4 linked regions of the Arabidopsis thaliana genome follow. The protein of the gene in region 1 interacts with the protein of each later gene in a pairwise test. Each region holds a gene or a part of one and is shown in the gene's direction. Other genes may lie near its edges. The genes, in order: RCF3, AT5G05190, AT5G06770 and AT1G29120.

Region 1 (5,976 bases):
ACGATTATCGAAAGCGCAAACCTCGATGCCGGAATCATCGGAAACAATTCCTCCGTCGTCGTCATCATCGTCGTTGGGTTTATCCGTTCCCGTCAATCCCATGATTTGAGGACCCCATGACTCATGGGTTCCGGCTAAACCTGAACAAAATTAGAAAAACCCAATTGAAATCAAGCTCGGAATTGCTAAGGAAACTAATCAAATGGGAAAGATGGAGATTACAACAGACCTATGATGAGAAGAGCTTTGATAGGACCATGACCGTACGTTCTGTAGAAGATTTTGATTGCGGCATTGTTAAGCGTCGTCTCTGGGCCGACATCTTCTTTCACGACCTCGCAAAACGGCATCGCTTTTTTTGTTCTCAAACTCTGATATCTGGGTGGGATCAGATTTTGAATAACCGGAGAGGAGAAGAGGAGAAGAAAGGAAAGGACTTTTCTATCGGAAGAGAGAGAGATTGGGTCTGTGGTGTGGTTCGGTTCGGTTTTTTGGGTGGAGGTTAGGACTGCCACGTAGGATTGGTCGGCTGGATTTTATTGGCGGGTAATATCTAACAAAGGTCAACGGTCAAATTTTTTACACGAGAAAACTATGTTGTATAGAAATATAGCACGTGAAAAACGCTAGAAGTAGAAGTAGTACTACGTCAATGGAATTCATATGCATCATATATAAGAGAAGCGATAATGGGTCTGAACACAAGTGGAGCATTAACCTAAAACAATAGCAACTTAGACCATTTGTTGAAGTAGTCACTACACTATTTTAATCTCCGGTTCAATTTGTTGAACTTTATAATGTTTTGCTATTTTGATCCGCGTTGCTTTATATTATATTGGTGTGGTTTCAGGAGAAGACAGATCGAGACACAAAACAAGGCAAGATCGTTACTGACATTTTATGCTGGACACTAGATAATTGTTCACCAGGACATGTGATAATAAAACCTCCATGACTTCGTGGCTGCTTTTTCATTATATATAGTTTAGGTCACCATCTTGTCGTAGCACAACCTGAAAACGCAATACCTTCTCCTGAAACGGAAAATATTTGTTGGGAAGACCTATCATTTGGAAAGTACTTATGCCCGTCAAGGCTCACAATTTAGACGAAACGATCCACCAACAACTTAAGCTTTGAGTCTTTGACCATAAGTGCGAGACGATTTTCTTGTATTGTTAATTTGTTATTGCTTGTTTTTGTGAACTGATCCTTAGTTTTTTTTTTCATCAAAAGTGATCATTTAGTTAAAGACTTAAAGTGCAATGAGAGTTTGGTTTCTTTATTTTTAAACTCTTGAAAAATTAATTTTGTCAATGAAGCAATACAAATTAAATTGCTGAAAAGGGATAGTAAATCGTTTTTTGTCCTTACGGATTGGTGATGAAAATGGTATTCAACGGATGCAATACTTAGATGCACCAAATGATTTTTACCATATGCTAAACTTTAACACTAAACCAATTATACTTTACCTGGTAAATATTAAAAGGATTTTTTGTTTTCCAAAAACAGTTTTAGTATATGTACTTAATTACATAATACCGCGGTTAATAAATAGTTAAAAATTAAATTAGAAAAAAACACATACGTGTCTACAGTTTTAGTCTCGTACATAACACGAAAAATCATCTAATTGGTTACGTATTAATCATATCATTTTTACCTATTAGAAAAAAATTATTTATACATTTTTAGTATCTACTAATACGTTACGTGAGCACAAAAATTCATCTTCATCAGTGCTAATAACTATGCGAAAATCTGATGACGATTCATTTGTCTAACAATTTATTTAGCTTAATACGAGTTTTTAAAGATGAAGCATACCCAAATTTCCCAAGAGACCAAAACGACAACGTTTGGGAGTAGCTAATATCGTAGTTAGCGCACGCCACTAACATCACCCATTGCACGGTCTCTCTCTACTCTCAAACTTCAAAAAGCTTTGGCTTTTTAGATTCACAGGAAAGAACCCTCAAAACACACAAAAAGCTGGTGATTTTTGCATTGCACCGATTCGCCTCCATCGATTTTGGACATTCTTGAATTCTCCCTCCAAGTATTCCTGTGAAATTGACCGGAAAGTTCCTTCCTTTTTCAATTTCCGGTAAAAAGGAAAGTAATTGGGTACTGTAGACTTCCTTCTAGGGCTTGTGAACTTTCTAATCCTTCAGAAAACCCTCGAATTCGAAAAATTTGCTGCGAGATTGATAAATGACTAGTTAAAGATTTGAACTTTGATTTCTGGGTTTGCGATTTTATTCAAATGGAGAGATCTAGATCCAAGAGAAACTACCACTATGACCAAGACTATGACGGAGATTCCATGCCTAGGTCTAAACCTCGCTACAACAATAATTACCACTTTGGTGGTGGCGGCGGAGGAAATAACAGATACCGTGGCGGCGGCGGTGGTGGAGGTGGAAATGGCCGGCCATCGAAGTCTCATCCTGAAACGATGGCAACAACGACTTATCGAATCCTCTGTCACGACGCTAAAGCAGGAGGTGTTATTGGTAAATCCGGGACAATTATCAAATCTATAAGGCAACACACCGGCGCGTGGATTAACGTGCACGAGCTAGTTCCTGGAGATGCAGAGCGTATCATTGAGATTTCTGATAATCGTAGGCGTGACCCTGATGGGAGAATGCCGTCTTTCTCTCCTGCTCAAGAGGCTTTGTTTAGTGTTCATGACAGGATTTTGGAGAGTGAAGCTCAGTTTGGTTATGGTGGACCTCCGCCGGAAGAGGAGGAGGATTACGGTGGAGTTAGACCTGGTGGAGGGAGAGTTGTGACTAGATTAGTGGTTTCTAGGATGCATGTTGGTTGTTTGTTGGGTAAAGGTGGGAAGATTATTGAGCAGATGAGGATTGAAACTAAGACTCATATTCGGATTCTTCCAAGAGAAAGTAACTTACCTCGTTGTGTTTCACTCTCTGAAGAGATTGTTCAGGTCTGAAAAATTGCTATTTTGAGAACATATTTGAAATGGTGAATCTTGTTGAGATTTTGATATGAAATGTAGTCAGTTTATTGAAATGCTAGATAATTTAAATGTGTGATTGTGAGGTTGAGGTTGTTGACAAGAGTTGAATCACTCTTATGTAGTTAGCTTGGTCATTATTTGTTATGTTTAAGCTTTCTTTGGTGTTTTCTACCTATGGGAAATGCATTTATAATGTTGGTTCTTTCAGATTGTAGGTGAACTAAATGCAGTGAAAAACGCTTTAGCCATTGTATCATCTCGTCTAAGGGAGAGTCAGCATCGTGATCGGAGTAATTTCCAAGGGCGTTCACATTCACCAGAACGGTCGTTTGCAGCTGCGGGGGATGATTACATGCCACAGCTAAGAAGACAATCATCCGATAGGTTTCCTCGTGGTAATTTTAGAAATAACAACTTCAGTTCTCGCCAGTCCAACTATGCAGAAGAAGCTCCAGCAGTTCCAGTTGGTGAGAATGTCTACTCCGAAGAGCTTGTGTTCCAGATTCTCTGCCCAGCTGACAAGATTGTTCGGGTTGTTGGGGAATCGCAAGGAATAATTGATTTGCTTCAGAACGAGATCGGCGTGGACGTTAGAGTATCTGACCCAGTTGCTGGATCTGATGAACAGATAATCACCATTTCTTCGGAAGAGGTACTCTAAATACCCTCAGATCTTCTTCAATATTATCTGTTACATTTACAATTGTGAACTTGAAGTTTTGTATTCTTACTTTGCTTAGGCACCTGATGATCCATTTTTCCCTGCTCAAGAAGCCTTGTTGCACATTCAAACTCAGATCATAGATCTTATTCCGGATAAAGATAATTTAATAACAACAAGATTACTTGTCCCATCTAGAGACTCTATATGTTTGGAAGGGAAAGCAGGATCAGTATCTGAGATATCACGATTAACTGGAACAAGCGTACAAATTCTAGCTAGGGAAGAAATTCCCCGATGTGCTTCTATCAATGATGTTGTTATACAGGTATGTTTGTCTATTTTTGAGGAGTCGAGCATTTTCTAAACAACTTCTGGTCTCAAAAGAGAATTCTTATGTGAATGTCGATGTAGATTACTGGCGAGATCAGAGCTGCTCGGGAAGCACTTGTTGAATTAACATTACTATTGAGGAGTCATATGTTCAAGGAGCTCTCTCAAAAGGAGACACCACCAGCTTCCACATCCACAACTGGCCCTCTCGAAGGTGTTGCAGGAGTAATGGAGGTAGCTTCATCAAATAACACAATTCAATCTCGTGAAGGTCCTACTAGTTCGAATCTGAACTTGCAGCAAGTTAGCACAATCTTGCCACAGTTTAAGGTTTTTGTTCTCATCAACAATCTTTTCAATATAAAGGCATCTGTAATCAGTTAGGGTCAGACTTATTTTTGCCATCGAAACAATGTAATATTACTATCAGGCTATGCATAATTACCTGAATACTTGGAAAGTAGTCTATGGTTCTTGTCCATTCGTGCAATGTCCCTATATTTACATATATTTTTCTCTTGGTTTTTATAGGAAGGTTTCGGATCAGTTGCAAAGGCGGGTGAAAGTGAACACCGGGAAGAGGTTCCTGTCACGACAAGCAGGTAGAGAAACTCCCAAATTTGATATATTTTCCCAAAACCGTACAAGTGCTTGTTTCACACCTTTCCTTCCTGCTTTTTGTTTTTTTCTCTAGAATGGCGGTACCACTTGTTACTAGAAGCACTCTTGAAGTTGTCTTACCAGAGGCGGTTGTTCCTAAGCTCGTTACGAAATCAAGAAACAAGCTTGCACAAATCAGTGAGGTAGAACTCTTTTTAACTGGAACTAGATTGGTGCAAATCATGACTCTAATCAAAATCTTTGACGCTTTGTCTTATCTCTTTCCCACTTGATCACAGTGGTCTGGAGCTAGTGTAACCATAGTTGAAGACAGACCAGAAGAAACACAGAATATCATTCGAATTTCGGGTACACCCGAGCAAGCAGAGAGAGCTCAGAGTTTGCTTCAAGGCTTCATTTTGAGCAGTAAGTTTCTCTCTTTCCAAACTTTTATATCCGTATTGTACTGATCTATAAGTCTGATTTCCGTTCCTTGTTTGGTGCAGTACAAGAGGATGGACCGTGAACTTGGACCAGATCATCAGTCAACACAGAGATGAAGATCAAGAAACTGAGAAATGTGGAGTTATGTATGACTTGTTGAATATTAGGATTTCAGTAAGCAGTAGTTTAGATGAACATTCCACATTTTGACCATCACTCTTTGGTTTCTATGTTGTCTATTAGTCTTCTTTGTTTACATTGTTCTGTAACTTATTTAAAAAAGTCATTAAAGTTTAATCCGAATGACTAATCATTAAAGACTCATCTTTAATTCACACCACCCCTATGTATATTGGAAGAACTTAAACGCTGCGTTTCACTTGAGTTAACATCATTGAGATTGGGGTGTTTTTGCCCTAGATAAAGTTTAGGGTGAAAACATAGATAAATCTTAAGTCGTATTTTACAAAAATAGCCACTGCTAAAACCTCACCTGCGGCTTCACCTTTCTTCGAGTTCGTGAAAAAGAGACGTCGCATCGCACCGCCGTCGCCATTTCCACCGTCGTAGCATTGCCGCTTCACTGGTGATTGATTCTTCCTTAACTTCTCTTTTTGTTTTCTCTGTTCTCTTATATCCGTCGTTTTCTAGGGTTTTCTCACTCCTTGTTGTGGAATCTCTCTTTGTAGACTGTCGCACTGAATATTGTTGAATCGAGAAAATGGCTTATGTTGGGCAAAGTAGAAACGTGATTCGGCATGTAGTCTCGAGAGGAACAGCTTATCACAAGTATGAAAATGCGATTCATCATCCTCTCCTTTTCGCTTGTCAAGGAGTTCGATACAGAAAATTAGAAGTTATTCTTACAACGGTGAGGTTTAATGATTCTGAAAGGCATGATTTTTATCGTTTGATTTTGAAATTTCCTTCACATTTCGTTGGG
Region 2 (5,075 bases), about 20 Mb from region 1:
TGAATATTCTTATCAATTAAATCGTCTATAGTAGCCAATTATGATTGCAATCGTTGTGCGAATATAACCAGCATGGTATATATCACAAGTTTTTAGTTAGTGAATTTTTTAGTTATTTCAAGAGCTTGTTCTGTAGAATAAACCAAAAACTAAAAGAAAATCCATTCTATTCAATACCATAACTTCATGTGTTCACGAAACATCATGGGAACACAGTAAATAGAAAAACAAAATCAATTTATAACTATATATGAATGTTGTCAAATGGGAGTTGACCTCCAATATTATCTTTTATACATTTGAAACTTTAATTTTGACTTTTTTTTAGTAAGATAGTTTTTGTTCATGTCCTGAATGTTAGGTAACAGCTAGCGATTTGAAATAGAAATAAACATTTACAAACCATGTAGTGGTCCAAACCATTGACTCAATTAAAGAGTCAACGCATAATCGAATTTGTAATCTGTGAAGAAGAAGACTCGAATGGTATTGAACTTGATTTGATTTGATTCGTTTTGTGAATCGTATCCCGTTAGTCATTGGATTGTGCAGAGAAAACAAATATTGAAGCAACCTCTAATTAAGTCTACAAAGAAATAGGACACCACAACAAAGGTTGACTTTTACAGAATCACAAAGCCAAAACGATAATCTAGAAAGTAGAGAAACTAGACAGCACAAAACGATAAAAGACCGAGTCTGTCGACCATTACCTTAGTTTTTTTTCATATCGTTAAAAAATAATGTGATATACATGTACGTTAATACTTAATATATACTATTTGACTTGAGATAGCCCTACAAAACTTTTATTCATTTATTTCTCACAAGTTCCCTAAAACTTTATGAACCAATTTGAAGATTAATATTTTGTTACGTTGCTATCAATTTCAAATTCTTTGTAGGTGCTATATTTGAAAACTGGTTTCATACCTAAAAAGGTTATGAACCAAAGACTCAACTTGTCTGGTTATAAATAAAAGTGATTGAAAACACTCACACGGCTAGTGAATTCTCATTAGAAAAATGAAAAGTTCGTTAAATTCGACCAGTGATATAAATATATATACGAAAAACATATGATCATTATGCTTTTTGTCAGGTCCTAGAAATAAATATGTGGAACCCAATTCATTTCAACATTCACGGTAATTTAATTTCCCTTGGCAACATTTAGTCATTTACCGGAATATTCAAACTTCGAATGTTAGGAAATATTTAAGAAGGTAATGGTAAAAAGTAAGAAAAAAAGGACTGGGATCAATAAATGAGAAAAATGGAAGTAGTAGTGGGGCTAAAATTTCTCTATCCAAAATAAATGAAACAGGCGCCGACATTAACAACACCATTCCATTTATAACTCTTTATCCAAATTTTTATTTAGCTGAACCCAATTTACTCTTTCTCTTATCTTCCTCTACTTAATTCTTCTAACAAAGCTCTGTTGCAGATGCTTTCTTTAGAAAAAAATTGGGCCAATATTGTTTATTGAAAAGATCAACAACAGACTGGGTTTTGTTTAAGAAAGAATAGTGATTAGAGAACGAGTCGTTGATGTTCTAATTGACTTGCAAGAATGAAAAAAGATACCAAAAAATTCCTCAAAGAGATATTAAAAAGAAAAAACTTTTTAGACACGGAAAAAGAGAGACTTTTCTCAGAGGAAAAAAACAAGAAAAGAGAGAAACCATAGTAAAAAAAAAAAAAAAACTGTCTGTCCAACGATTTGTTTTTGTTTTTTTGTCTCTGTTCTCTCAATTCTTCTTCTTCTTCTTCTACTTCGCCCCCACGACAAGAAATTCTCCTCTCTATTTCTATCTCATTCTTTCTCTCTCTCTCTATAAAATCTTCAACTTCTGGGTTTATTCTTCCACAATCCCTCGAGTTATAATAACTCTCTGCAAAGAGTTTTACTTTGATTCTTCTGTGGAGGATCTTACACAATTTTCATGGCTTCTTGAATCATGTAATCTTTTCCTTCTCGCCATTTTTCATCTCTACCCGGATCCGTAACCAGCTCTCAGACCAGACCCGGGTTATACCATTTCTCCTCCTTAAAAGTCACACCGCGTTGACCTTCTTCCTCTGGTCTCCTCTCCCATTTTCTTTTAAAGAACTTCACAAAGTTTCAATCTTTTACTTTGGTTCCTCTCTCTCTCTCTGTTTATTAGGGTTCTGGGTTCTGTTGATGATGATTCTCTAACTAATGAGGTAGAGTTATAACCCAAAAATAACAAAAGTAGAGTTAAGTCTTTGAAATTTGGTACCAACAATGGCGAGCCAGACGGGTCAGAAAATTCGGTTGGTGAGGTGTCCCAAGTGCTTGAAGATTCTACAGGAAGACGAAGATGTTCCTGTTTATCAGTGCGGTGGTTGTTCCGCCATTCTTCAAGGTAACTTTCTTTCCATTTCGATTTTGCCTCTGATTATAATGTGAACTCTGTCCCTGAATCTGGCTTTGTTCTACTCCTGGTTGTCCATCTGTTTGGATGTCTGAGCTCAAACCAGTTGTGTTTTGTGGCATGATCTCTTTCATTATTAAATTTGGTTGTTGCTTCTTTGATTCAGCGAAAAGGCGGAACATTGCTCCAAGCAGTACACCAAGTGCAGGAGAGACAGAGAGGGCTCAAGCCAATGAGCCGCAAAGCGTACCTGAAACCAACAATGTGTCCAGCAGCTCGGGGCAGGACACGGTTCTGCCGTCATCTCCAGGTCGTTCCGTGGACCAAGAGTATGAGAAAGGTAGGAATGCATCCATGGAGTCTACGGAGAAGGAGCTTGATGACTTAGAGTTATCTAATGGAGATGGGACAAATGAAATTCAAGAGCAGGAATGTTCACTTGGTGATTCTGAGAAGAATGAAAGAGAAGACAACTCCAGATTGGAGTCTCATATGATGAACACCGTAGCAGAAGCTGCAGGATCTGGATCTAGCTCTGGAAGCTTGAGCGTTGATCATGTGGTGGCTGCAAGAGCGAGTAATCCATCCGGTAACTCTGAGATTTCACCGGATGCTTCCCCCGTAGAAGAGAAGCAAAGCCAACTTGACATTCTTGCAAACAAGACTCCTTCTGCTTATGATGTGGTGGCTGCAAGAGCGAGTAATTCATCTGGCAATGCTGAGATCTCACCTGATGCTTCCCCTGTTGAAGAGAAGCAAAGCCAACTTGATTATCCTGCAAACAAGACTTCTTCTGCTTATGATGGGAGTGAGTCTTCCTCTGACGAAAGGGAAGGCCAACTTCTCGATGATGACGAACAATGGAATGCTCTTCAGAAAATAAGATCAGGCAAATTTGAGATGCATAGATACCCTGGGTATAAGGAGCAAGGCGCTAGTTCCTCCTCCCCTTTCTCTGAGAATAGGCGCAATGGGATTACCACATACAACGAGCGGCATCAGAACAGGTCTCTACAGCTAGAGGGACCAGGAGGGCGCCTTGGCAGACAAGGGAGGAGACATGTGACAGAACAACTTCGGCCTGACATGCCTTTCTATCCGAGAGAATCATACACACGTGGAAGCCCTTCCCATCCGTCACATGATGAGTTTGATCGCTATCCCCGTGCACACTCACTTCAAATGCCTTCATACGCTGGAGGCATGAACCACGATTTTGTTGACTATATGTATCACAACAACCCAAGGGCAAGAGGTCAGGGCCAAGGAAGTAGGATCTCAGGTGAAATGGGAAGAAACCATGGCGGTTGGTATTCAGGTCAGCTTCATAATTCTTACAGTTCATATTCTGCAAGTCCACAGAGACCAATGGAACAACCTGAGTATCATCCGAGATGGAGGCGTGAGATAGTCTCAGACGTGGAGGATCATCAGCGTAATAGACATGCTGGCCACCACCATGAGTTACAGACCCGTCGTCTAAGAGAGAGACAACGTGTGGCCAAGCGTCATGTCCGTCCAACAGCTGGTGGGGCACCTTTTGTTAGCTGTTACAGTTGCTCAGAAAACCTGCAGCTTCCTGTAGACTTTCTCATTTTCAAGAGGAAACATCATCTTCTCAGATGCGGCACTTGCACCACTGTTCTCAGATTCTCACTTCAGTCCAGAAATCATTTAGTTCCTGCAGTAACACATGACATAAATGCTAATAGGAATAGCAATTCAACATCAGAGTCTCCCATAGACAAAGCTCCCTCCAAACCTGAAAAGCTGAGATCCTCTGTTCAGGATGAGGAGCTACCTGTGGCTAGAGGCTCTCCGCTTCACCGACTAATGGGATATTCTACTGTAAGCCAAGTCTTTAAAGTTTCACAGCGTCCTCCTTCTATATAGATCTCTGCTTCAGATGAAGCAACGAGAACTATGAACTTCTGAGAATCTGAGATGGAAAGTTTTGCCATTGTTTGCCATTCTTTATTTCACTTCTGTGTATAGGTAAAAGATTTGTCTCTGCACTTTTGTTTAAAGTAGAAACCATGACACTTGTGAAAAATTATACAAAAAAATAGAAGAAGATATAGTTCATCTGTTGTATATAGTCATGATATGTTTGTAACAAGATTGAATTCATCATCGTTCTTGGCTTGATAATCTACTATAACATTACCACTTGTAAATAAATAAAAAGTTTGAATAGGTTTAGTGAAGTATATTTGCATAAACTTAGTTGAAGCTGTCCTTGTATCCATTCGTCCTCTTGTTGGACGCGATAGAGATCCGCTGATCCTGCAGCATGTTCAGGTTTGGGGCTAATAGTCTTGTGTATCGATCGAAGTACAGAAGTTGCTTCAACAGAAGTGCAAACTCTCTCGGGAACTTAAGACCATATGATTCGCTAACACGCACCTATAAGAAAGTGAACTTATTTTCAACTGCTGAAAGCTCAAATCCTGGGGTTTATCTTAACTCAATGCAACTTCTATATCCTCTTAACAACTTTCAAACCAAAAAAAAATCCTTAAGAAATTACGTCTAACTGCTTACCAGGTCGAGGAAAAGAGCATTCATCTGTCTCTCATCCATAACTACGTTAGCAGCAACAGCAGTAGTGTCTGAATTTGTTCCACGAGCTGTAGCCACTACTATCTCTGTATCTAGTTCCTGCAAGAAGAG
Region 3 (4,361 bases), about 19 Mb from region 1:
TTGATGTCGAAATCTTTCGCATTAGGTCGAGAGAGTTTTTGATTCAAACCTTCCTGATCCACATGAGCTTGATAAGGCCAAGAAGCTACTCAAGGTGAGCGATATGATAATTGATAAGAACTTTGTGACGAGATATCGATTGAAAGAAACAGTGAAGTGAAACTTGGTGTTGTTGTTATTGGATGATATAGGAACATGAACAGGCGCTTATTGCTGCCATTGCAAGGCTTACGGATGCTTCTGATTACGAAAGCGGTAATAAATGTGAACAGCGGCCTTTGTTTATTTCTATTTGTCATGCACTAAGATCACTAACAACAACATAATTTGTGCTGGTGAACCAGATGGAGAAGAACCGTATTCGCATGAGCTTCCAATGCTGCTGGGGTGAGTATGTATGACACCATCACCCCTAGGAAAAATGACTAGCAATATTTCTTTTTCTTCTGTTTTGCTTTAAGGGATCCCAGAAAATGATTTTGTTCATATATGATGAACAATTAGTAGTATTCTTCTAATTTGTGGTTTCAGAATGTATGAAAATAATCGTTAGGAATTTTGTTTGTAAAAACACTATTTTTAAAAAAAAATTCTGAACTTGTGTGATCATCATCAGGCTTGCCATCAGGATCGTTAATAATTTACTTGCTCAAATCCCCAATTCCTGTCTAAACAATGTAAAAAGAATCGAACCAAGCATGTAAATATTGAGAAGAGGCTTTTGACCTTTGAGCATAACATTCAAAATCTGATTCAATTAGCAAGAATATAAGATGGAAAGTGAGATCAACATAAATCACCTGTCACTGAATCCTTCAATTTTAAAAATATTTCAATGGTTACTTTACTTCAATTTATTTTATTGTTTTAAAAAAATATATTCAATGGTTATAAGAACGGTTAACAATAAATTAGTATCAGGGTTATCGTCTTATCGACCCGATGTTAGAAATTTTTTATAATTTTTCTTTTGTTAAAATGACAATCTTAATTCTTAATGGCAATTATATGTTCAATCTTAATGGCAATCTTAAACCGATCGATTATTCAAATTATATGTTCCGTATTTTTTTTAGATTGAATGTTATTGATAGAGTTATCAGAAAAAAATACTACTTTTTAGTTTAAATTACTGTGATTATGATAAAAAATTAAAACGCGCCAAACTTAACGATTTTTTTCCAAAATTTCTACAAATGACTCGTTACCCAAATTATTTTTTCTGTATTTTTTGAATATATTAAAACTAATGTGACTATGATAAAACAATTAAAACGCGCAAATTTAACAATTCTCTATTTTTGAAACCACTGGATGTGAATTAACAATAAATATAAAGTAATATGTGTACAAATAATCAGAGTTGAATATTTTTTTGGTGTTTATTACTTGCATGAGTACAAGTTTGATTCCAGTCTCATCAAATAAACTCTATTATTGTCAAAACATAAATTCATTCTAATGTTAATGTATATACTTTAAATTTATAGTAATCCATATAATTAATAATGGAATTAGTCTCCTGGTCTTTTGGTGTTCCACGAATTAATTTATATTATTAACAAATTAAGCAAACCTCTATCCCCCATTTATATTGTTGAGCTGTGTGTGTGGAGATGATGATGATGATGATAAACCCAATAGAATTTTAAAAGGATAAGAATCGCAAAGCTCATATCACAAAACTTTGAGATCTCATTTCATCTTTCTTCGATTCTACCTACTCCGATTCAATCGATCTTATCGAGACATGGATGCTCGTAAGAGAGGACGCCCTGAAGCTGCTGCCTCTCACAACTCCAATGGCGGATTCAAGAGGTCTAAGCAAGGTTTGTTCTTTCACTCCTCTCCTTCCTATTGTCTCCAATTGGGTTTTAGAAATTCGAGATCTTCACAACAAGAGAGAATGTTTTGGTATCACTTATGTTTGTTCATTTCTAGTTGCAATGTGTGCTCTGTCTCTCGTAAAGGTTGTTCCTTTGTTCATTTTTGTGTTCATTAGAGAGATTAGTCGCAAACCCTTTTTCTGCTTCAGTCTGGTATTACCTTACTTGAGAGTTGGGAGACAATTGATATGAGAAGTTTGTATCTTGTTCTGCTTTGTGTTGTGCTATTGGCTTACCCTTCTTCTCATATTCATTGGATTCATCAATCAACTCCCATTAGCCTTTGTGACCACTCAACATTACTGGATTTACTTGATTGATATATTGATCTGTATCAACTCAAGCTGTTGAGTTCAATTTCAAAACTCTATAACCCTGGAAATTTTCAAAACCAGAATGGTATACTGGTGCCAAGTCCAAATGATATGTATTGAGAAAATTGTAGAAAAGTTTAACCAAGTAAAAGCACTTAATGTTTGCAACAGAGATGGAATCAATTTCAACTGGTTTAGGAAGCAAATCCAAGCCATGCACTAAATTTTTCAGGTTATAAATCTATTTTTTTTCCTGATTGGATCATGAAATTAAGAAGTAATACTGTATAAAGTGTGCTAATGAAGTGGATAGTTGTTATACAGGTACGTAGCACTGTTCATCCTTAAACGAGTTAAAAAGTCAATGTAACAAACTGTGATTCCTCCTAAGAATGGATGATAAGCTTATATGGAGTATAATTTTGGAACTGAACTCTACTGGTGAATCTAATATACAAAATCAACCAAAACTTGTTTTTGTGGCTGTCGTTGTAAACAATTTGTTTATTCTTCTTCTGTTTGATGGTAAGGAAACTGTAATTTTGCATATGCAGCATAAAACCATTGTTCTCAAGTAAGGTTCTTCTTGCATTATCTTTGAACTATCCATGAGTCTTTCGGCTCCTGTGCAACGTGTTGTTCATCGGTGATGCATAATGACTACAATCTGTTTTATTACTTTATAAATTTCTTTCATTATCTTTGTACTAAAACGCTATAGCTTTTTCGAGAAGGTAGCAATAGTGCAACAGCTTGGAGATGTGTCGTTTTGTTCTTTCTCGAATGAATTTGCTGATGCATTATGGTTTGTACTGCAGCACTTCTGGATGTCCATTTGGTGACAATTGCCACTTCTTGCACTATGTGCCCGGTGGGTACAATGCTGCAGCGCAGATGACAAATCTCCGACCACCGGTTTCTCAAGTTTCCAGAAATATGCAAGGATCTGGTGGTCCCGGCGGCAGATTCTCAGGGAGAGGAGATCCAGGATCAGGCCCTGTTTCAATCTTTGGTGCTTCTACTTCCAAGATCAGTGTAGATGCTTCTTTAGCCGGTGCCATCATTGGAAAAGGTGGAATCCATTCCAAACAGATATGCCGTGAAACAGGAGCAAAATTATCGATTAAAGATCATGAAAGAGACCCAAACTTGAAGATTATCGAGCTGGAAGGAACATTTGAACAGATCAATGTAGCGAGTGGGATGGTGAGAGAGCTTATAGGGAGGCTTGGATCAGTGAAGAAACCTCAAGGGATTGGTGGTCCTGAAGGGAAACCACATCCTGGGAGCAACTACAAAACCAAGATCTGTGATAGGTACTCTAAAGGGAACTGTACATATGGAGATAGATGCCATTTTGCTCATGGTGAATCTGAGCTGCGCAGGTCAGGAATCGCTTAGTTATGTCTTTAGACTCTTGAGAACAGATTATGCATTGTTAGCTCCATTATCATTGTGACTTTTTGCTCTCTCTTTTTGTTTTATCAATTTGTTTTATGCGACTCGCTTTGAAAACTTTAGCCCATTCTGTATTGAGCTCTGAAGATTCGACGAGTTCTGTAAGTTACCGATCACAGTTAAAAGACTTTGATATGTTAAAACCCTTATATTACAGCTACATACTATTTTTGTCTTAACTCTTAAGATATCATGCACAATAATATACTTGTTTTGTCTTAACCTATCGATTACAAAACCGGGTTAACCGCCGACATGAGGCGAACTCTAAAGCCTAACACGCGTCAACATCTATCTTCTCAACGACTCAAAGGCTTTCCAACACGTGTAGGACCAATAACTGAAACACAAAGCCTACCACCTCTTCTTCCTCTTCTTTCATGACACGTCTCACTGACGTGTCGTCAAGAACGTAATTAAATATTAAACTATCGTGACGAACGCGAGGCCTATGGCTATATCTATGGGACATGCTCGGTGAGCAAAACAATAAACAAAAGTAATCAGAAGATATCTTTGTAACATCTTTGAATTTCGCTAAAGGAAAAGAGAGAGATTTGGTAAAAATGCAGTCGATGAAAGAAACAGCTTCGAATATTGCAGCTTCTGCAAAATCTGGCATGGACAAAACCAAAGCTACCTTGGAGGAAAAGGTAACAGAATTGTGGTTATTATTAATTTATTGATGTAAAATAATAAAAAT
Region 4 (6,514 bases), on another chromosome or scaffold:
GGGCGATGAAGGTTTGACAAAGATATCTGGCAAAAATCTATTAACACTGTCCGAACAACAGCTAATAGATTGCGACATAGAGAAAAACGGTGGTTGCAATGGCGGAGAATTTGAAGAAGCTTTCAAGTACATAATAAAAAACGGAGGCGTTTCTTTAGAAACGGAATACCCTTACCAAGTGAAAAAGGAGAGTTGTCGTGCCAACGCCAGACGCGCCCCACATACACAGATTAGAGGGTTTCAAATGGTTCCAAGCCACAACGAGCGTGCGTTGCTCGAGGCCGTAAGAAGACAGCCCGTCTCGGTGTTGATTGACGCAAGAGCGGACAGTTTCGGTCATTACAAAGGGGGAGTGTACGCTGGGCTGGACTGTGGGACAGACGTGAATCATGCAGTGACGATCGTTGGGTACGGAACGATGAGTGGGCTCAACTACTGGGTTCTTAAGAACTCTTGGGGTGAGAGTTGGGGAGAAAATGGTTACATGAGGATCCGTAGAGATGTGGAGTGGCCTCAAGGAATGTGTGGTATAGCTCAGGTTGCTGCTTATCCGGTTTTTTAACTAATTTACTTAGGTGGTTTTTTATATTGAAGTGATCATACATTTTGTAGCCTGGTTTATGATTGTTTACATGTGGTAAAATTGCAACTTAAACTTGACCTTAAAAACTGTAATATGTTCATTTTATTACTCCATATAAACGTATTTCCCTCACTTTCATAATAAATAAAGGGATGTGTTTTTCACTTAAATCGTGTTCCATAAGAAACATTGTTTGAATTTTCAATGCAAATTTTAAAACCAAATTTAAAATTATCGCTAATAAAACTAAAATTATAGTGTAAGACGTGTTAATTACAAGTAGATTTTGATTTTATTTTTCATCGAAAATGAACCTTTATTAACTTTAATCGAATATCAAACTAGTACAAATGATGGCAAATCCATGGGGCTGGATTAGAGACATCCAAATAGAAAGGTGAATCTACACATCCATATTAGCTAAATGGTAAGCGGCAACATTGTTGCAACGTTTTGTGAAAAGGAATTGGAACTCTTTAAATTTCTGCGACCAATAATGGATATCTTGACATGATATCCTTATGATTAAGATACCTTAGGCAGTATTATAAGTAGATTAGCAAAAAAACAAAAAAAAATTATATATGAATCCATCATTAAGCTTGATTTGTTTTTTTAACTTGTCCAAATAAAAGTTTAGTTTCAATATAACAACATCTACAACACCCGGTTACATATGATACCTCGAGGTCCACGACGACACACTAGTACACTACATATACATAACCAATTCGCACCATATGATATTTAGATACCCCTTTGACAATATCATGTAAGGGCTTTTTTGGAAAGCATCACTAACAAGTTAACAATTGGATTTTTACAAAAACCATAAAAATTTTACTCGGTTTAGTAGACAAATATATTTTGGTGTTATCTTACCATTTACACCAAAAAAAAGAAAAAAAAACTACTAGCAGTATTGATTAAAAATTTAAAACAGAAAATATATATATATATATATACCAAAAAATTGTAAATAGTATTCTTTTGACCTTTGTTTTGGAGTGAATTGGTTGATGAAGAAGAAGAAGAACCTGGTCCGATTCTAAACCTTTTTTTGAATATAAAACGGAATAAAAATATTCTGTGTTTGAGTCGCCTAACAACAACACGCACCACCCGAAATTATAAAGTAAAAGTAATAAAATCAAATTATATAAATTGGCAAAAGTCGAAGAAGATGATGATTGAATGTTTATTTGGCAGTGAATGGAAGAGATAGAGAGGAGCATGGGTCTCTGTGAAGAAGATAACGTAGAGAGAGTTATTATGTTTGATTCTGAAGCGTGACGTCACTCAGAAACCGTGAATCAAGGATCTTTCTTCCACTCCTTTCTCTGATTTTGACTTTCTCTCCTCTCTCTATATATAAGCTCAACATCAATATGTCTACGGCTTCTTCTTGGATTCAACAACCTCCTTTTAGATACTTACCGGATCGTGGCGGTTTCTCTAAGCCAAGCTCTCGCAGCGCGCGGCAGTTTTCCTCCGGCGTTGTTTCAGCTTCCGCTTCTTCTCCTTCGCCTTCATCCTCGTGCTCCTGTGGTTATTCGGAGATTTTGAATTTCGATTTCGGTAATAGGCTTTGATCTTCGAATGATGTTTGTCGTGTAGATTTAGGGATTGATTACTTTGTTCATGTTTATCGAATGATGCGTTGTTACATCTGGAAATGACCTGACATTGTACTGCAAAGTTTCATAGCTGAGGATTTCTCGATCAAAGACGTTGTTTAGGATGGTGAAGAATAGTATCGCCTAATTTAGATTGAGGAGGAGCTCAATTACAGTGTCTATATACACAGATTTGTCCCTGTTTCTGCAAGAGATAGAAGATTTTAAGATGTTAGATGATTGTGATATGCCAAGTAGAATTAGTGATAGTATGGTTTGTTTGGTCAAGAATCGGCTCTGTTTTTCTTTTGATTTAGAGCTCACAATTTCGGTGTCTATTTAAACAGATTTTTCCCTGTTTCTGCGATCGAAAATAAGCTTGAACATGTTAAATGATTGTGAGAAGCTAAGTAGAAATGGTGATAGTATGATTTGTTTGGTTAAGAATTGGCTCTGTTCTTTATAGCTTTTTCCGCGGGTTCATTTGTTTGATTTTTCTTTAAGAAGGGTCAAACAGAAGCTGGAACCAACAGGGACGCAGGGTTCAGGCAATGAGTTCCACAGCCCAACGGAAATTTTCGCTATCGAAAGGCGACTCCGATGACAAAAATGAACCTGATCATCTTCTTGTTCTTGTACATGGTATTTTGGCCAGGTATTATTTCTAAGTAGTTCATCAATTGAATGGTACTGGGTTTGCATCTTGGGAAACCCTCATGGTTTTGTTTTAGGTTGGATAGAAACTTGCAAGTATTTGAATTTGAAAGTTATGTCTATCATTGTCAAAAAAAAGAAAGAAAGTTATGTCTATCATTTCTGCTACTTTGTTTTCAGATTGAATAATTTATAGACTCCAAATTTACTAAGACACAATTACTTGCAGTCCCAGCGACTGGCTCTACGTAGAAGCTGAGCTGAAAAGACGCCTTGGAAGAAGATTCTTGATTTATGGTATGCTCATCTTGTTCTAAATTGTTATCATCTATTAGTTTAGTTGAGTAGTTGTTGGATTGTATGTATAATAGAAGAGAATTTTTGGGAATGAAATGGTAACGTAAGTTGAATGCATGTGCTGGGCACAAAATTGAAAACACTTCAAGGTCTTATATAATCTTTAGCGGCAAGAGGCGAAATATACATTTTCTTGAAAAATTTAAGATCTTTTCGTCTGGAACCACAACTCTTCTTTAGTTTTGTATTTTATTATAATACTCATGTGCTTTTATGCTATGCGTGGAATGGATCACACGTGATGTGTTTTAATTTACTCTGTTTCTCCTGAACATTCACAGCAAGTTCTTCCAATACCTTCACTAAAACATTTGGCGGGATCGATGGAGCTGGAAAACGACTAGCAGAAGAGGTGAGTTTTAATATCTTCATTTGCACCTCGTGTATAGGTAGGTCTTGGTTTTCTAGCCCTTAACTTCAGTACATGAGCTGATTTCTGTTCCCATTCTGGATGTGAGAGAGGAATAGGTTAGACAAGTTGTCCAAAAGAGCAAGAGCTTAAAGAAGATTTCGTTTTTAGCCCACTCCCTCGGTGGCTTATTTTCCAGACATGCTGTTGCTGTTCTTTACTCAGCAGCAATGGCACAAGTAAGTGATGTTGCTGTCTCTCAATCTGGCAATTCAAATCTTCTGCGAGGTAGGATTGCGGGGCTAGAACCGATTAATTTCATCACTTTGGCAACACCTCATCTAGGAGTGAGAGGCAGAAAGCAGGTTCTCTTCTTCTCTACTTATCATAATTGGAATTTTGGAATCAAAGAGTTTCATATATATCTCGCAGTACCTGTACGTAGATGTGGTGTATGCGTAATTAAGAAAGTAGTTAGTCGTTTTTCACATGTAAATTTCATCTACCTTCTCCTTGTGTTCAGACAGATATCATAAGTTTCATCAAAACTGTCTTGCGTTTTTTGCTATTTGGTCCCCTAAGTGTCTAGACTGATGAGTGATGAATATTAATTGATAATCCCTGTAAATTCTATCTCATTCTCTCCTCTTTTTCTGGAACCCCTTGTATCAGCTGCCTTTTCTGTTGGGAGTTCCTATTCTTGAGAAACTTGCTGCACCAATAGCTCCATTCTTTGTTGGTCGGACTGGTAGTCAGTTGTTCCTCACTGATGGTAAAGCTGATAAACCACCTCTTCTTTTGAGGATGGCATCTGATGGTGAAGATCTGAAATTCTTGTGAGTAATGCTCTTACCAATTTAAATCATTCGACCCCTTAATGACTTATCTGTAATCCTAATGCATTTCATTGTCTGGCAGATCGGCGCTGGGGGCATTTCGAAGTCGCATTATATATGCAAACGTATCTTATGACCGTATCCTGTGCATTTCTGTTGCTGTTTAACTAGTACAGATGTGCCTAGCTGTGTCTGCATTTGTTTTCTGAACTGTTTCCTTTGACATCAAGTAGACATGGTTGGTTGGCGTACATCTTCCATTAGGAGAGAAACTGAACTTATCAAGGTACGTTTCATGCTATATGAAGCAATGGAACCTTTCTATTTAATATTACCCCACTTGTTTTCATGTTCCTTCTATTATGTAAGTTGATTTCGACTCTGAAACGTGTAGCACACACTAGCTAGATGATGGGGTCATCGATATTGATAGTTAGCTTGCTGTGAAATGCTAACGGTAGCTAACTTATCCTGAATTTTGGAATTATGAGTAATCATAGAGGGAAAGTTTCATAGAGGTAAAGAGTCTAAGAAATGAAACAATTGTCTGTAGAGAATCACCAAAAATACTTTCGGCAATTCATTTATCTCAAGTAGCTTCGTGCAAGAAGCTCTCTGTGGCTTGTAACCAGTCAAATGAAACTTTGAAAATTATTTAGCTGTCACGAGTGAGATCTGATAGATATGTTTTTCCCCTGTTTTAATATAGCCTTCACGCCGGTCTCTGGATGGATACAAGCATGTTGTTGATGTTGAATACTGTCCACCTGTTTCATCAGATGGTGCCCATTTCCCTCCAGAAGCTGCTAAAGCCAAGGAGGCCGCACAAAGCTCTCCTAGCCCTCAGAACACACTTGAGTATCATGAAATTGTGGAAGGTGTAGAATTAGCCCAAACATTTGATTGATTCTTCTAAATCGGCATGAGATTTACAATTTATACAAATATTGGTGCAGAGGAAATGATCCGCGGTCTGCAGAGGTTGGGGTGGAAGAAAGTTGATGTCAGCTTCCACTCCACCTTCTGGCCTTACTTAGCTCATAACAACATTCACGTAAACTTCCAACATCTTCACTTTGGAGCTTTTTAATTCTTTGAAACATGGACTAACAGAGATTTTGAGTCTTGTTTCAGGTGAAAAGTGAAAGACTTTACAAAGCAGGAGCTGGAGTTATTGCACACGTTGCAGATAGTATAAAACAGCAAGAGTCTTCCACGTTTATTACCGCCAGCTTATAAATCGTGAGCATTTCGAGTGTTTGACCCGTTAATGCTGAGTGTGCTACGACATTTGAACCATTCCTGTGTTTTGCTTTTACCATACAGTTTGGGAGATCGGTGCAGATCAAGAATGTTCGCATCTTTGCTTCTTCTATTTTTTTTCTTGGCGAAATCAGAAGAAGTACAATCCAATTCATCTGTACATGATTTTCTTGTATTAGCTTGTTGATGATACAACACTTGAAAGATGTTATTATAGATTAAGGTTTCTTAAAGAGAAAAGTTATATATGTTCAACCTCTACTCTTCAAAATAACAGATTCAGCTGAAGACATTTGTTTCTAGTCAATTTGTTTTTGGAATTTTTCTTAATTCAAAGAAAATTGTGCAAAAGCTTTCATGTGCGGCTCAGATTAATTAGTCATTTACTACTAATAAAACTTTCACTTTGGGGTCTAGTAGATAATTCTCCACCCCCATTGAATCTTTTTAGTGGAGGTCTAAACATACATAAGATTCTATAGATTGACATTTGGGAAACCATCCTCATACAAAAAAGACCTAAACGGAATCTATGAAGAATTATTAACAGAAAAGAAAAACAGATGGCAATGAGAAAAGATCGGGTTCAAGGAAAACACAGCCGTACAAAACTCAAGAACAAAAACACCAAAAATAAACAAAAAAACTTCCAAAAATAGATATAGAATCACATGGTTTTGTTGTTTTGTCTATTTGTTCTCTATAAAAGGAGATATTTGGTTGGATCTATCATAGCGTCTCCTCTCAACCAAAGCTTACAATTTGTTCTCCCTTAAAAACTAAATTTTACAAATAAACTCTCAAATCCAAGAGAGGAGAAGACCGAAGTAAAAACACAAGAAAAAAAAGGATTAAG

What was found.
Region 2: the proteins of RCF3 (region 1) and AT5G05190 interact in a two-hybrid assay, tested with the Arabidopsis thaliana proteins (one large-scale study listed by BioGRID).
Region 3: the proteins of RCF3 (region 1) and AT5G06770 interact in a two-hybrid assay, tested with the Arabidopsis thaliana proteins (one large-scale study listed by BioGRID).
Region 4: the proteins of RCF3 (region 1) and AT1G29120 interact in a two-hybrid assay, tested with the Arabidopsis thaliana proteins (one large-scale study listed by BioGRID).

What each region holds. Positions count from the first base shown.
Region 1 is NC_003076.8:21,513,083-21,519,058, forward strand, and holds RCF3 (RNA-binding KH domain-containing protein), read left to right. Parts: upstream 1-1,813; 5' UTR 1,814-2,272; coding exon 2,273-2,962; intron 2,963-3,203; coding exon 3,204-3,647; intron 3,648-3,735; coding exon 3,736-3,984; intron 3,985-4,070; coding exon 4,071-4,319; intron 4,320-4,520; coding exon 4,521-4,591; coding exon of another isoform or gene 4,592-4,595; exon of another isoform or gene 4,596-4,623; intron 4,624-4,683; coding exon 4,684-4,792; intron 4,793-4,888; coding exon 4,889-5,015; intron 5,016-5,095; coding exon 5,096-5,115; 3' UTR 5,116-5,465; downstream 5,466-5,976. Other genes in the region: AT5G53050 (alpha/beta-Hydrolases superfamily protein), read right to left, coding at 1-140, 230-350; AT5G53070 (Ribosomal protein L9/RNase H1), read left to right, coding at 5,755-5,904. UniProt on the Arabidopsis thaliana protein: Acts as a negative regulator of osmotic stress-induced gene expression. Involved in the regulation of thermotolerance responses under heat stress. Functions as an upstream regulator of heat stress transcription factor (HSF) genes.
Region 2 is NC_003076.8:1,539,581-1,544,655, forward strand, and holds AT5G05190 (hypothetical protein (DUF3133)), read left to right. Parts: upstream 1-1,637; 5' UTR 1,638-2,272; coding exon 2,273-2,393; intron 2,394-2,568; coding exon 2,569-4,295; 3' UTR 4,296-4,557; downstream 4,558-5,075. Other genes in the region: AT5G05200 (Protein kinase superfamily protein), read right to left, coding at 4,626-4,808, 4,947-5,063. UniProt on the Arabidopsis thaliana protein: Plays a negative role in salicylic acid (SA)-mediated resistance to powdery mildew (e.g. Golovinomyces cichoracearum). May modulate plant immunity by regulating the relocation of EDR1 by interacting with CHC2 and modulating endocytosis.
Region 3 is NC_003076.8:2,090,177-2,094,537, reverse strand, and holds AT5G06770 (KH domain-containing protein / zinc finger (CCCH type) family protein), read left to right. Parts: upstream 1-1,536; 5' UTR 1,537-1,750; coding exon 1,751-1,829; exon of another isoform or gene 1,830-2,358; coding exon of another isoform or gene 2,359-2,371; coding exon 2,372-2,432; exon of another isoform or gene 2,433-2,959; coding exon of another isoform or gene 2,960-3,018; coding exon 3,019-3,601; 3' UTR 3,602-3,835; downstream 3,836-4,361. Other genes in the region: EML2 (Emsy N Terminus (ENT)/ plant Tudor-like domains-containing protein), read left to right, coding at 26-94, 192-255, 345-391; LEA4-5 (Late Embryogenesis Abundant 4-5), read left to right, coding at 4,225-4,311.
Region 4 is NC_003070.9:10,172,510-10,179,023, forward strand, and holds AT1G29120 (Hydrolase-like protein family), read left to right. Parts: upstream 1-1,677; 5' UTR 1,678-1,971; coding exon 1,972-2,161; intron 2,162-2,703; coding exon of another isoform or gene 2,704-2,706; coding exon 2,707-2,854; intron 2,855-3,082; coding exon 3,083-3,150; intron 3,151-3,491; coding exon 3,492-3,562; intron 3,563-3,678; coding exon 3,679-3,924; intron 3,925-4,231; coding exon 4,232-4,395; intron 4,396-4,477; coding exon 4,478-4,533; coding exon of another isoform or gene 4,534-4,562; exon of another isoform or gene 4,563-4,625; coding exon 4,626-4,681; intron 4,682-5,104; coding exon 5,105-5,273; coding exon of another isoform or gene 5,274-5,302; exon of another isoform or gene 5,303-5,351; coding exon 5,352-5,449; coding exon of another isoform or gene 5,450-5,485; exon of another isoform or gene 5,486-5,529; coding exon 5,530-5,634; 3' UTR 5,635-5,637; exon of another isoform or gene 5,638-5,721; 3' UTR 5,722-6,012; downstream 6,013-6,514. Other genes in the region: AT1G29110 (Cysteine proteinases superfamily protein), read left to right, coding at 12-562.